5 separate regions of the Mus musculus genome follow, and all the other regions are reported to be linked to region 3. The links are microRNA targets in miRTarBase. Many come from high-throughput screens and were not tested one by one. Region 3 holds a microRNA gene; each other region holds the end of a gene's coding sequence.
What was found. The annotated mature microRNA mmu-miR-301a-3p reads CAGUGCAAUAGUAUUGUCAAAGC and lies in region 3 at 2,212-2,234, opposite strand. An mRNA with a match to its seed (bases 2 to 7 or 8) in the 3' UTR can be bound and repressed. Matches are read on the target gene's strand: a 7mer-m8 pairs with bases 2 to 8, a 7mer-A1 pairs with bases 2 to 7 and ends in A, and an 8mer does both.

Region 1 (3,071 bases), not on the chromosome of region 3:
ACATGAACTCCCAAGGTAAATTCTGATCCCATGGTTAAAAGAGCAACTTTCAAAATAGTTTTACAATATTGAATGCTTTTTGTTTTTGTGCACTGGATCACTGTGGGCCTTGCTCATACTAGCCAAGAGCTACCCACGAGCCACTACACCCAGCACTACACCTGCATTTTAATTAGACTTTTCTTTTTGTCTTCCAGTCCTGGTACCTGGGATAAAAGTTGCAGCATCCCACCATCCTCCAGACAGACCACCTGACCCCTTCTCAACTCTGTAACATGGACGCAACCTCAACCCGGCGCAGTTACAACTTCACTGTCAGTGGAAGGGGAGCGAAACCAACTCGAATCAACTTATACATGGAAACAGCAAACATCGTGGTCAAACAGCAAAGGCCATAACTTTTTGGGATTCTTTTTTTTTTCTTTTTTTCTTTTTTTCTTTTTTTTTTTCTTTTTTAATACTTTAGGGACTGTCGTAATTTCTCATGGTGCTGGAAATGGTTGGGCTGTGTGACATTTGAAGTGTTTCAGTGGTGGCGTGAGCAGTAGGTGAAGTGGTTGGTGAAGGATGAGCCTCGCTCGTGAACTTCCTGTGGTAACACTTGGGAGCCTGGCCTTTTCCCAGTATTTCCTGAATTTGCCCGTGCAGGTGTGTGACCCTCCCTGAGCATCTGGAGACACCTGGAGCATGAAACCTTCTGTAATCGCTGAGATCTGTAACTTACAGGACACTCAAAGGGCAATGGTTTTTTTTGGGGGGGGGGTTGTTTTTTTGGTTTTTTTTTTTCTGTAACATATTAGGGAAAAAATGCAGTTAAGTTGATCTTTCTTTTAATTTGGTTTGGTTCAGCAGTCAGCAGTTACATACATAACACAACCCGCAAGGACAGTGAATCCGCTCCTGTTGCAGAGCAATTTCCAAAAAGACGGCAAAGACTACTACTATCAGTTTGGTTGGGTTTTTGTTTTTTTGTTTTTTTTTTTTTTGTTTTTTTTTGTTTTTTTTGTTCTTAAGTTTTGAAATGCTGCACTTACATTTAAAAAAAAACATTTTTCAACAATTTCAACAATGACACAAAAATTCACATGGAAATGGGGAAGATGGTCTGTTTTGACAGAAACTGACAGGAATCAAAACAATCGAATTTTGAATTGAGTGAAGTGCAATTTCATTGGATAGCTAAGTATCTTTGTAAGATAGAGATTGTTGAAAATTCTATTTTTGTTTTTCAAGTCCTCCCACCCCAGGACTCTAAATTATTGGGGTAAAAAACAGCCTTGCAAGAAAAAGGGGAGCTATTTTTGCTTTTTATGTTTTTTATTGTTAAACTTGTATCCCTTTAAAAAAAAACCGAAGGAAAATTTAAAAAAACAAAAAAAATACAAAAAAAAAATACAAATCTAATGGTGCTTTTACCACAATATGTTAACTACATTAAATGCTAATTAATTATTTTCTGTTATCAAAGCACATAACTCAAATGAAATCATGGTATCTGTTAATTTTATAAGCTAGAAATCACTATAATGAATTATGCCAATTCTGAAAAATTTTACACATGTATGGCAACACCTGATCTATCGGTTATCCAACGCTTCATTGTACCAGACATTGTCCAGAAGTTTCAAAGACCCTTTGCAAACCCTGAACTGGGCTACGGGAAAATAACACGAATACTGATAAGGACACAACTATGTGTGCCCATTCAGATCAAAGTACTTGTTAGGGAAAAAAAAAAAGTTCACACCCTCCCCGCCCCCCCCCCCCAGATGTCTTGTATCTTATGTTTAAGGGAAAAAAAAGACAAAAAAAAAAAGACAAAAAAAATCAAAAAAGGAAAAAAAAGCAGAAACAAATAAACAAACAAACAAAAAAAATGCAAGTGATTTTTCTACCAGACAGCGAAGCACCCTTGCTTCCCATGCAATGTCACGGTTTCCTATACTATACATATATATGTGTTCTGGTCGGCAAAGCCTGCCGACCAGAGGAAGTCTCTCTGCATGTTCTAGTGTTAGTAACTAATTTTTATATAGCTAATGTAGGATAAAGTAGAGTGCATTAAGACAATATTGTAACCCCACTCTAGGCACTTGCCTTTAAACTGTCTCAGCCCTTCAGAAGGGCTCAACTACTGTCCTATACAATCAAGTGACTGAAATTCCTGGGAAGACACTTTGCTCCTCACCTAACCCCACCCCCATCCCTAAACGATGTTGTTTTGTTTTTATTTTTTTCCTTAATTTGCACGAAAACAGAAATTCCATATCAATGTGCCTTGCCCTGGATAGTGATTATTTGTGGAATTGTTGCACATGCTCCTCAATTGAAGGGGTTTTTTCCCTACTCAAGCATTCGGAGACACTTTCTGTAAATGTTAACCTTTATGTCAGCCATCGTCAGTTTCAACATCTAGACCTAAATAGAAAGTTAGCTGTTCCGCAGACAGGCGTAGTCTTGAGTGTCCTGTGTGGTCAGTGGCAGTGCTATTCTGAGCTCTGTAGATGCTTACAATGTCAGTATTTGGGATGTCGCTGCATTTTTTTTTTCAATTTATTTGGAGTCTCCCTTTATTCCTGCCCCCGCCCCCAGATATATGAAAATATGCAATACCTGCTTATATCATGTAGAAAAGCTTAGCAAGTATTAATTTTTCTTTCTTTCTTTTTTTTTTTTTTTTTTTTTTTTTTTTTGTTTGACCAAAGTCAGTGCTGCACATGACGCAGTGGGTTTTAGGTGTCTCTCTTTGTGTTTTCTGTGGTTTGTGATGCACGTGCGCAGGAAGGGCTCCTCTTAGAGAAGCAGCCAAACTGTGAAGCACTAAGCTGACCCTGCTTCAAGCAATTTTGTTTTTACAACTGTTCCTTTCACAAGCAAGCCTTAAAAAAAGAGAAAAAGAAAAAAAAAAGACAACTTCCTTTCTCTTCAGACCCCCACACCCACTTTTCTTAGCAGACGGCAGTCAATCCACATTCAATAAAAAGTACATAATGCCCATTTTTATATGCACGTTTTTAAACTTCCAAGTTCTGAAAATTGTTTACTGGTTATCTCTATTTAAGGAAAAAAAA
Region 2 (3,071 bases), not on the chromosome of region 3:
TGCCTCTTTCTTCTTGCTTCAGCCTCCCAAGTGCTTGTGACCACGAGCATGACATCATGCCTGTAGAATTCAGTAATAATACGAAAATAACATTCAAGCCGGTGAGATGGCTTCTCAAAGAAAGGCACTTGCCTTACAAGTCTGATGATCCGAGTTTGGTCTCTAAAATGCACATAAAAGTAGGAGAAAACTGATTCCACAAAATTGACCCCCAACTTCCACAGCTTTGTCATGGCAACATGCGCCCACATACACACAATGTTAACAATTAACTTGATAAAAAGCATATACAGAATAAAACAAAACAAAACAAAACAAAACAGGTGTAGTGTAGAAAGTTGGCTCAGTGATTAAGAGCACTGGCTGCTTTTCCAGAGGACCTGGGTTCATTCCCAACACTCACACGGCAGCTCACAACCGTCTGTAACTTCAGTCTCAGGGGATCTGACAGTCTTCATGCACATGGTACACAGACATGCACGCAGGCAAAACACTCATACACATAAAAATAATTAAAATTAAAAGCCAGGTAAGCTATAGAGTGAATTTCAGAGCAGCCAGGGCTACACAAAGAAACCCTGTTTCAAACAAAAACAAAAATTTTAAATTAAAAAAATAAAAGCAAAATTCATTTCTATTAAAAAAAATAGATGTGATTATGTTTAAATTGTTAGACTTTGGAGGCCAGTGCCTTCAGTAGATGAAGACACTTGCCACCAAGCCTGACAGCCTGAGTTTGATCTCTGGGACTCACATAGTGAAAGGAGAAAACTGACTCTTGAGGATTTTCCACTAACTTCTACATGTGTGTCATGGCATGTCCCACAGCCCTCACAAATAAACATGTGAGAAAAGAATTTTAAATTGATAGTCTTTGAATAAAGCAGGTGGCACTCAGTATGTGTGGGCCTCTTGTCTTCCTGAAGAATTCTGCCTCAAGTTTAGCAGTCCAAAAACCCTGAGTTTCCAGCCCACAGCCCTGCAAATTCAAATGCTGGATGTCAACACCAACTCATTTGCATTACAAGTATCAGCCTGCCAGACCCCACAACCACACGGGTATGAGCATATGAGCAGGTTCCTTAATGAAACCGTGTGTGTGTGTGTGTGTGTGTGTGTGTGTGTGTGTGTGTACCCCACATTGCACATGTAGAGGTCAGAAGACAACTTTCAGGAATCAGTTTTTTTCACCTTGTTGAGGCAGGTCTCTCTTGTTTCTGTAGTTTCCATATGTGGGGTGTGTGTATCAAGGCTTTTGAGCTTCCAAGAGATTAGAAGAGTTTCTTGTCTCTGACACCTTTTTTTTTTTTTTTTTTTTTTTTTTTGAGACAGGGTTTCTCTATCCCTGGCTGTCCTGGAATTCACTCTGTAGACTGAGCTGGCCTCGAACTCAGAAATCTGCCTGCCTCTGCCTCCTAAGTACTGGGATTAAAGGTGTGCACCACCAACACTGGCTTGATTTTATGGTGTGTATGTTTGCCTGGTTTTGTTTTTGGGTTTTTTTTTTTGTGCCTGGTGCCTATGGAGGCCAGAAGAGGGCATTGAGTCCCACAGAACAGAAACTACAGGTGACTGTGCGCTATCCTATGTGTGCTGGGAACCAAACCTAGATCGTTTAGAAGACAAGCCAGTGGCACGCGCACACGCACACACACACACACACACACACACACACACACACACACGTGTGAGGACTCACGGAGATAGTGCACTAATGCTTTTGATCACTAGCCTCTAGCTTAAAAAAAAGTGAAGTTACACTTCAGTTCTACTGTGTATGTGTTGGGTGGGTTTATACCAAGGTATACATGGAAGTCAGAGGTCAAATGTGGGAGTCAGTTTTCTCCTACCATATGGGTCCCAAGGAACTCAAGCCGTCGTGGCAAGAACCCCTGTCTGCTGAGCCACCTCACCAACCTCGCATCTTGCTTTTTATATGGGTTCTGGGAATTGAGTTTAGGTTGTTTGGTTTATGTGGTGGCACCTGGAAAGCATTACTGCACTATCTCCGTGTGTGTGTGCCTGACACTGTGCTGTTTCTGGAGAAGTCTACTAACATGGTAGACAAATGAGAGTGTGTACCTTTCATGCAAGGCACTTGCTAAGCTCTTTGAATGTGTTAGTCCTCATGACTTTTATTCATGCTTGATGTAATTTCTGATTGGCCATTTTACAGATGAAAGGCTGAGGCCTAGAACTTCCTCAAGGTCTTAAAGTGATAAAGTCAGGTTTGGTCCTAGCAGTTCCACCCTAGGGTCTAGGTGGATGGGCTCTTTCCTACCTAGTAGTATGTAAAGATGCTTTGAAGGAAGAGTCAGGACACTAATAGCAAGTGCTGCCATTTTAGTTGTTACACTTAGCAATGGGATAAATAGGATGATCACGGACGGGGCAGGGTATTAGCCCGGGCAAGATGGTCTTGGGAACCCTAGGTCCTGTAGATATAACTCAATAGAATAGCCACAAGGTGGCGCCAAACAGACCGCACAGACCCCGCTCAGGACGCAGGTCCAGGATTGGGCACAGGAGTCTATAATGGTTCCAGAGCTAAGGGTCTGGGAACCCTCTTCCTCAATCCAGGATTCCTCGGTCCAGGGGCCAGGCCTCATTGGAGCCCATCTGTGGATGGATGTGTGGTTCTACCAGCTCAGCCTAGGGATTAGGTCCATCCCAGTCAACAGAGTACAAGTTCTGCTTCTGGGTCTTTCTGCAGCGGAGTAAACCGGAAGGCAAGGTGGGTTCCAAGCCAGTCAGGTGGCCAAGCAACAATTCTGAGTAATCCGCCGCCAAAAGTTATGTCTGCGACTGCTGAGAGCCACTTCTGCTGCTTCCTGGAAGACGGCTTCCACGTTGTCATGGAGCCGAGCTGAACACTCAAGATAGGCCACCGCTCCCACAGACCTTGCCATATCGTGGCCCTGCCAAAGAGCAGTAGGAGCTACTATGAGTTTGGGATGCGGGGTGAAACTCACATTTGGTCTTGCTGCAGCCCTTTTGGCAATGTCAGTAGTCTTGAGGACAATAGTGGGAAGTGGGGTTTTTCCAGGGCACCTTCAGTGGGCAACTAATCT
Region 3 (3,000 bases):
AGGGGCATGTGCACCACCACACACATGCATTAGCTGTTTTATACAGGGCTGTGTTAAATCGTGTTAAGCTTTCATTTGGGGGTTGGAGAGAGAATTCAGTGGTTAAGAGAGCTCTTAGTCTTGCAGAGCATCTAGGTTTGTTCCATTCTCAGCATCCACATGATTGCTCAAAACCAACTCTGAGTTTCAGAAGATCCAGTACCCTCTTCTGGCTTCCACAAGCTCCTGCACACATGTGAAGGACAGTCTCAAGCAAGCACACACATACACATAAAGATATTAAATACTTTACCAAAAATTTTTCTTTTAAATTTGTTTGTTTGTGTGTCTATGTTTGCCTTGCCATGTGTGTAAAGGAACCCACAGAGGCCACAAGAGAGTGTACAATCCTCTCAAGTTGGAATCACAAACTAAACTGCCCAACCTGGGTGCTGAGCCGAGAAGCAAACTCCAGTCCTCTGGAAAACAAGAAGGTCTTTGACCCCAGAGCCATCACTCCAGCCCCCAAACCACAAATCTCCAAGAAAAAAAAATTAGTGACATTAGATTGAGAAAAAAAAATGTGCGCATGTGTCTGCAGTTTGTGTATGCACGTATGTACGTATACCATGTACCATGCATGGACAGGAAGACTTTAAGACATTAAAAAACATATATCAGTTGCAAATAAGCACATGAAAAATATTCAATATCACTAAGAGGACTATGGAAAAGATTTTATCAAACTGTTTTTGCCTTTTGTGTGTTGGTGTGATTTTTCAAGCCATGCGTTCCTGAAACTCACTCTGCAGACTAGGTCTCAAACTCAGAGATTCACCACCACCCCCGGCCCACCTCCCAAGTGATGGGATTAAAGGCTATGCCGCCACCCAGTTGATTTTAGCAACTTCTCCTAATAGTCCCATTTCCCAGTATTTACACAAAAGAAATAAGAAATTATGGCCACGTAAAGACAATGCTTCCAACAAATTTATTCATAACAGGCAAAGCCTGGAAACAACCCAAGAAACACTTTGTCAGACTTTATACAATGGAATATACTCAACAATAAAAATGAATCAATTATCAACACATGCAACAAAGGCAAGATGGCAAAAGCACTTACAGTAAGTACAAGAATGCAAAACTAAAAGAACAAATACTGTGCTGGCCCAGTCAGAGTTCACAAAAGCACTGTTTGGAAGGAGACTGCAGACAGACACAGAGACTTTTGAAATGAAATGTAATGAAAATGTTTTATTATCTTAGTAGTGGAGGGAGTTACATTATGTATACATTTGCCAAAACTCATCAGTGTACACTTACATTTTTAGTTTTACTTACATAAAATGTGCATTAAACTTATTACCAAAAAGTGATGACTTCTGTATGGACAAAAGGATATACTGTGTGACACAATGTGACATACTCCAGCTTCTATGACAAGATTTTTTAATTCTATCTTTATTTTGTTTTGAGGAGGAAGTTGCAAGGGCAGAAAGCCGATACTAAGGGATGGGAAAATGAGTGGAATTGGAGGGCTGGGGTGCATGATGTGAAATTCACAGCCAATAAAAGTTTTTTTTAAAGTGATTTATATTTTATAGTTACAATAATCAAGCCTTTCTAAGTTTTAAGGATTTTATTATTCTGTGTTTGTATCAGTGTGTGTGTTTGTATTTGTGTGCCTGCAGAGACCAGAAGACAGCACGAAACTGCCTGGAGCTAGAGTTACAAGTGGCTGAGAGTGGCTACTAGATGTGGGTGCCGGGAAGGAAACTCAGGTCCTCTGTAGTGTTAACTGCTGGACCATCTCTCTAGTCCCCTCCCAAAGTGTTAAATTTAAGCATTTCTAATATAATACTAAAATGGACACTAAGATGTAAACCATTACCATAGTAAATAGACATGAGAGACTATCACTTACCAACTCATATAATAAGACCGAAGAGTTCCCAGAACCTATTCAAGTCTATTACAAAAAGAAGCAAATTACAAAGTACTATTCAGTTAGACAGGCCATTACTTCACAGCGTACAGTAATGAATTTTCAGTGCCATACAGAAATGATAAATGTTAATTTAATGATATTTTTTCAAATGATGACTTTCTAAAAAATATACATAGTAACAAAATTATACAGTTTTCCACACTGAAAGTTATAGAAACCTTTTCACAAATACTGAAGATGTAAGACAAGAACCAGGAAAGGTGTGCAACCTGCTCGCGGATGCTTTGACAATACTATTGCACTGCTCGCTGTAAAGTACAGTAGTGCAATAAAGTCAGAGCAGCCGTTAGCAGGAGTGAGCAGGAAAGGAATGCAAGGCTCAGTGTGCAAAGACCTTAAAGTTGAGTTGCCATTTTAGTCAGAAGACATCCAAAACCTAAAAACATTTATACCAGTATATTTTTGGAAGGGCAAAGGACCAAAGTGATAATTGGTTTTTGTTGACTAACCTGAAATTAGCAGCATTCAGACATAAACATGCACAGATGTAAAGGAATTTTGTAATATGTCCTGAGCCTTTAGTAGCTAACATGGGCATCATAAAAACTTTATAATTGATATTAACAAAATCAGCTGTAATTACTACTAAGGCAAATATGTGAAAAACTATGTTTTTTGCCTAAATGTAATGTTGGTTAACTCCTTTTCCAAAGCGTCTGGGTTACCTACCATAGAAAACAAGTCCTTTGAGTAATTACTTCAAAAAACAAATGAAAAGGATTCAGTGGTTAAGAGTATTTGTTCTTGGGTCCGAGTCCTAGCACACACTTGGTGGCTCAAAATCATCCATGAAGAGTTCCACAGGATCCAATGCCCTCTTCTGACTTCCTCAGGCACCAGGCACAAATGTGGTGCCGTCACAAACATGCAGGCAAAACACTCATATTCATAAAATAAATCTCAATAGAAAAAGAGAAATATACCTCTCTCAAACCTATATACCCAGTTGATCTCTATAGAATTTACTCACATGCACACATGTGCACACACACAAACACACTTAGGCAGCA
Region 4 (3,071 bases), not on the chromosome of region 3:
GTTGTTGGTTGTTTATGTTGTTGGTGTGTTTCCCTTCTTTTGATTTTGCTAGTATGCAGTTATTTATGAATAAATACATTTGATAATCCGACTACCTGCATCTCCCCCCCCAAGTTAAGTCACAATGAAGTAACCTTAAATGATTTGTAGTTTTACAGTGTTATTATAAATTTGAATGCTGTGTTTTGTCCATGCAATTCTTTGGTATGAATGTGCTTCATATTCAGGTTATATTTATACTTACAGGAAATTGGTTTTTACTTTCTTTTTAAAGAAAACTAAATTGAAGAAATGGCTTTTTACTCAAGAAGACTGCTGGGCCTGGACGACCTAAGAGACGGACTGGAAATGAAGTGGAATTCAGAAGAAAATCTCAGTTTTGATGATTACGTTGCTTTTTTGTCCAGTAGTTTGGTTTATATACATAAATATTCTTTGCACTACACAAATGGTAACATTTTAAAGACTAATATTGCTGATACTTGAAAAATCAATCTCAACTAGATTTTAAGTAGCATCCATAGACTTACTCTTTTTGAGCTTGAAGGACTAAATTATTAATTATTGTTCAGTAATGATCACCTAATTTTTCCCATAAGAATTATAAGCTGCATTTCTAAGGCATAGCTCCAATTATGAGATAAAATTTATACTTTTTACTTTTCTAAATTAAACACAAGAAAGAATGCAAAAACAAAAGTGATTTTTTAAAAATGAGGTTAAATCGATTTTGCATCAGTCACTGAACTGTCAGCTACGTGGCAGGAACCGGACGGAAGAATCCTCTCCAGGAGACTGGGCTTTAGTTAGTGGCTTGATTCCCCGGCTTGCTCAAGGGAACTCAGAAAATCATCGTCCTTGTACTGCGCTTCTGTTTACAAACGATTCACTGAACAGACTTAACTTGATGATGGAAATGATGAAAAACAGGCCTAATGTAGGTGTAAAAGTGTATTCAAACTCTAGACACGGCTAATCAGATTTTAATTCAATCATACACACATAATCCTTTGTAATCATTTTTCTTTTAAGTGAGGATATCTACTGTCTGCTTCATAGGGTGCTTTGCAATAAAATGAAAACGTATTTATACTGTTTTTACTAAGGTAACAAAAGCATGATAATCCTTTTTTTTGCAAGTGTAAACGACAGTCTGGACTCTTAACTTCTTAGTGCCTCAGTTTTCCTTTGGGGTATACTTCACAAGGTATCAGAAGTACTTTCAGTCTACAGGTCTCTATGTCCACATAACTAAGGAATGCCTAACTAATGGAAACTTAAGTTCCTTCTAGCCATTAAAACAGAGAGAAGATCAATTTAGATCCCGGAACACTGTATTTGAAAAATAATCTTCCTGTGTACTTTCTCAAACCTGCGCTCAGTAATATACTTTATTCTTTGAAGATTTAATTTAAAAACTTCATAGAAAATCCTTTTTTGCTTTTCCTTTTGAGACAGAGTTTTGGTAGCTCCTACCAGCCTCCAATTCTCTATGTAGCTGAAGATGACCTTGACTACCTGAGTTTCCTGTCTCTACTTCTTTTCAGCTTCTGGGACCACAGGCCTGTACCACCATGGCCAGCTTTAGAGAGTAAAACATTTTAATTTGTTCTTGATTTGTATGATGTTGGGGGCGTTAGCATTACGTGTTGAATATTTTGAGTAAGAAGAAAAGAATCCATCTTCAGAATATAGGGTTGTTCTTTGGGAAAAAGAGTATAAGAACATAATTTCTTTGTCCTAGACTTTACAAATTTTTCAAAACTGTAACTTTATTTTAAACTTGTGTATCACAACTTGGTTGATATGCCTAAAATGATCTACTGGCTTTTGCTTATGATTAAAAAACCTCAAATCTATCTTCTACATTTTAAAAGGAAGAAAAAAAAGCAAATAACTGAATTATTATAGAAAACTTTAGACCTGTGACATTTTTTTGTTTTAAATTACAAAAGAGGTTGGTATGATAAAGTGATGGCTTTTTTCTTATATAAATAGAATGCAAATCAAAGATATAACCAGTGTGATTGATTGCAAGTAGTCAAGTGTAACTAACTCCTAAGGGCAACCATTTGTATCTTATATATCAGAATTACTTTATAGTTTGAAAGCACTTTGCACACATTTCCTGTATATAAAGGATGTAATTACAGGATATAGTGGTAATGCATTAAAACATGAACCTCATTTTAGAAATCGACAGCTATGGTATTTTTTTAATGATCAGCTTTTCTGTTTATTGTAAAACTAAGTTAAAAAATAAAAGGTTAATGAGAAATGAAATGCTAACTGTATTGACTGTGTACAAAGCTAAAGCAAGAAGCAACAGTGGTTCATATACAGTAATCTTAAATGGCAGGCAGGAGATACAACTGTCCGAAATCCCAAGCACAGGATTCCACAGGTTCCATTCCGGGTAACATGCAAAAGGATAAGGTCATGAGACTAAATAAAGGCATATTATTATATATAACTTGAACAAACAACAGAAAACCAAGAGAGAGAGGGTTTTACTGTAGCTTAGACTAGCTTTAGACTTGAAGCAATCCTCTTGCCTCAGCCTACGAAGGACAAAAGAGAATCATTTTAAGTTTCAACAGATGTGAAGCTGAGAATGTGAAAGGTATAGAATAAAGTGCTGTCTCTTGGCTCATACTAGAGCAGTCTTCAGTGAAGGAGAATTCATACCTCCCCATATACAAAAGGATAGAGATGATTTCCTAGTGTGTGCTATTTCAAATGGCCTTCAGCCCAAACAATGTTTATGTGAAAGAGGCGTGTTGGGGGTGGCATTCTTATTTCTTTAGACGAGTTGATTTCTGTGGGGAAATCTCATTGTTCTTCTTAAGTTTTTTTGGCAGGTGTAAATTTAGATGATACATTATTTATTCCCAGTAAATACCATTACACAACAGTGCTTTATCTGGTGGCAGAATATTAGGTGATGAGCTGGAAATGTGATAGCAAACTAATTTCCTATTCAAGTTGGTTATTTTGATCTCAAGTTGACAGGCTAGAGTTACCTGAAAGGAGGGAACCTCAAATGAGGAAGTGCCTCCATAAAATCTGGC
Region 5 (3,071 bases), not on the chromosome of region 3:
CACACGGCAACCGCTAAAGAACTCCTTGGTTTGGAATAAAATGTGCCACTCCCAAAACATAAAAACACTAATTTAGTCAAAAGGCTACAGTGGGCTTCAGGCAAATACACAGTGGAAAAAAAAAGACTTCGCTGCACGTCCATGCTGGGGAATTTTTTTTTTAAATGTAAGCTACTAATATTTTAACAAAAAAATTAACCCCAAAGTTGCATATTTATATTGTACACAAACTGAAACATAAGTGCCTTTAGCACAGTGGACACATGCTTACATAAACTCAATAGTTACACTTAAAACAACTTGCATGTTACACAGGAAAAGTTCTGAAATACAAAAAAGCATTAATATTTTCTATAAAACTATAGTGAGAACATCAGTTTACTACAAGCATATAAAAACATCAAGGCTCTCTCCGAGTTTCAAGTTCTCTTCACAGCATCGCCTGATCATAGTCTTCCTCCAGCTCTCAGCATGGACTTATCTTTCCTCAAGGGGTTCCTCTTCCAGGTACACTGTAAGCTCAAGAAAACAGACCTAACAATTATGCAATATAACTACGTCATAACAACTTAATTGCACATTATGCTTTGAAAGTAGGTTTGGATGACGTTCTCAGACACTTTGGTATATGTTCCTCAGGGACATCTACTACAAGTAACAGAGAGATCGAAGTTCCTTCCATCCCCGTTCTGCATTGACATGAACAAGTCTTTGGTTAAAGGTCTGCATCTCAGGCATTTATCTTCAATTAAAATGGTCCCTAAACCACTAAGTGGAGCTGTGGCGTCCTGGTACACAGACTCCGTGTCACTGGTTTCTGGCGTGGCTGGATGTTCTAACACTCATCTGCTAACGTTACCGCTGGTTTCAGCCTCTCCCTACTGCGCAGAGAAATCACCAGCTTCTCACTTCTCTGGGTCCTGCTGTAAACTATACACTAATTTGCAGTGACTACAGACACTGGTTCACAAAATGTGATTAGGGTTAAAAAGCTAGAGAACATTCAACTTAGATTTAGCTTATTCTGACAGGTCAGTATTAGGTTGTAGGTGACTCTGCATTGACTACAATAAGTTGTCAATGCTTATTTAAAAACCCCAAACCATTCCACGTACAAGAGAAATTGTGGCAAATGTATAAAACGGCAGATATACAAGAACACCAAACATACTTTATTAGCACGGAAAAGCAGCCAGAACAAGGCACAGCAAGCAGAAACATACGTTTAGCAGTTAAAGGGTTACTGTTGCATACAAATGTAGCATTTCTTTCAGGAAGCCCTGGCAATAGCCATGGGACAGAAAGCAACCTCCTGCAGCAGCTGGCATGAGGGCCGAGGAGCACCCGGCAGCAGTTACAGAGCACGGCAACACACAGGAATGGATTTGGCTACTGTAGTGCAAATGGCTAGGACAGAACCGGGAACACAGTCCAACACGAGAAGCAACACTAGAACTCGACAACACGTCCCAAGCATTCACTCAAGTTGTATTACGTCCTATCCTAAGTGACAAAAGGTGCCAAGTAAAGTTATTTACAGGCAGCATGGGTGTACAGTACCTTTTAAATCTGCAATTTAGACTTCAGGTTTTCTGTTAAGAATTAACTGCACTAAAACTGTATAATATAAATTGTACTTAAGCAATTCGGCTATGAGCTTACAACAAAGAGATAAATACTGTCATCCAAACGATTAATTATAGTTTAACACAACTTGGCATCGTCAACCAGTGGAGTTACTACTATCTGATGTGTCTGGGCATCTCCTAGTCTCGCTGTCCTCTGGGCTCACATAGTCAAGGGCACAGGAAAGGGTTCCAACTTTGATGAGACAATGTGAGGACTGACTGCACATGTCAACTTGGAGAAAAACACCCCACTGGAAACTCCAACTGCATGCTCTCAGGTCACCGTGCTCATCCGAAATGCACACTGGGGCTTTTACCCAACTCCACCACTGAGCTGGGAGTCTCAGGGTTAAGAAAACTATCTAGGAAAACCTGGTTTACTTTAGAGCCTCCTTCTCTGAGGAGAAAAGGAGGCTGACTACAAGCCACATTAACAGTGCACAATGCCCTGTGGCTGGAAAACTTGCATTTGTTTTCTCTAAAAGGAAGGTAGTCTTTTATTTACTTGTTTGTTTTGAACTTTCAAAGCTTGATTTATAGTAACTACAAACATCACTACTTTTTCTGAAGGTTATAGAAAAATTCTTAGAAAAAATAATTTCAAACATTAGTCACACTATTGAAATACCCATCCAATATTAATAATTTGTTCTTCAGTAAGAAATAGAATTCTTCATAGCAAATGCCCCAGAGTTGCCTCCCTCAGTTGTCACAGCCCACCGAACACCTGCAAGCCATCTTGCTGTCCCTAGGCACCTTTGTCTGAGGAACAGCGGACCCCATAGGGCAGAGGCTAATGACTAAGCTCCCATTCTGGGTGGGAAATCCTAGCAGCTGACTGCCTCCTATGGGTGCAGTCTGATGCACGGGAGGAGCAGACTTAGTTAGTGCCCTTTGGGGACAGGAGTTACTTTGCTTTGACTGGTTCTCGTTCTAACCAGCGAACCCTAACTTTTTGTTTATAATGATACTCTTTTAAAAAATCCTGTAACATCGACGGTAGCGGGAGCCCGTCAATCCCATCATACGTAGTGCATCTGCAGATCACTGCGCGGCAGATATACTGCAGGCTGAAAGGGAAAGTTCTATTCAGTGATATCGTTAGCAACGGTTCAAAAAACATGCAAGAGCTGGGGTCTTTATAGTGTTCGAGAAGCCCCGTGACAGTGGAGGAGTGAAACACGCAGGGGTCATGGGCATCGAAGCTGAAGTTGTGGTTCCACTGCTCGATCCGGGCGTGCAGAGACCTGTTGTAGCGGCGGAAGCTCACAGAGAAGAGGTAGTCCTCCTGTGCAGAGTCCCTGAGCAAGAACGTGCCTTCCGGTTTCCCTTCTAGAAGGGCTTCGGCCTCGTATCGGTCCATCACGCCCCAGTAACAGGGATTCCCTGTGATCTGAAGCAAATCTGGCACGAGGCAGTGTATGTAATCGATCTGCGTATGAA

Region 1: miRTarBase lists Nfia as a target of mmu-miR-301a-3p. The part of its 3' UTR that is shown has no 7-base or 8-base seed match.
Region 2: the mRNA of Rhod is a reported target of mmu-miR-301a-3p. Seed matches in the 3' UTR shown: 7mer-A1 at 1,705-1,711.
Region 4: miRTarBase lists Acbd5 as a target of mmu-miR-301a-3p. Seed matches in the 3' UTR shown: 8mer at 436-443.
Region 5: the mRNA of Socs5 is a reported target of mmu-miR-301a-3p. Seed matches in the 3' UTR shown: 8mer at 1,396-1,403.

The regions. Positions count from the first base shown.
Region 1 is chr4:98,111,021-98,114,091 of GRCm38, forward strand. Nfia (nuclear factor I/A) reads left to right here. Exons shown (of 11, transcript NM_010905.3): 11 at 198-3,071. The coding sequence ends at 215. Among named protein-coding and RNA genes, the nearest start is that of Gm34784, 14 kb to the right of the region's middle.
Region 2 is chr19:4,423,339-4,426,409 of GRCm38, forward strand. It overlaps Rhod (ras homolog family member D), which reads right to left. Exons shown (of 5, transcript NM_007485.5): 5 at 134-2,918. The coding sequence ends at 2,751. Among named protein-coding and RNA genes, the nearest start is that of A930001C03Rik, 14 kb to the right of the region's middle.
Region 3 is chr11:87,112,288-87,115,287 of GRCm38, reverse strand. Mir301 (microRNA 301) reads right to left here and starts at 2,284; the gene lies at 2,199-2,284. The region is part of intron 1 of Ska2 (spindle and kinetochore associated complex subunit 2); the gene reads right to left.
Region 4 is chr2:23,112,231-23,115,301 of GRCm38, forward strand. Acbd5 (acyl-Coenzyme A binding domain containing 5) reads left to right here. Exons shown (of 14, transcript NM_001355637.1): 14 at 275-2,283. The coding sequence ends at 287. Among named protein-coding and RNA genes, the nearest start is that of Mastl, 42 kb to the right of the region's middle.
Region 5 is chr17:87,134,709-87,137,779 of GRCm38, reverse strand. Socs5 (suppressor of cytokine signaling 5) reads right to left here. Exons shown (of 3, transcript NM_019654.2): 3 at 195-3,071. The coding sequence ends at 2,536. Among named protein-coding and RNA genes, the nearest start is that of Socs5, 29 kb to the right of the region's middle.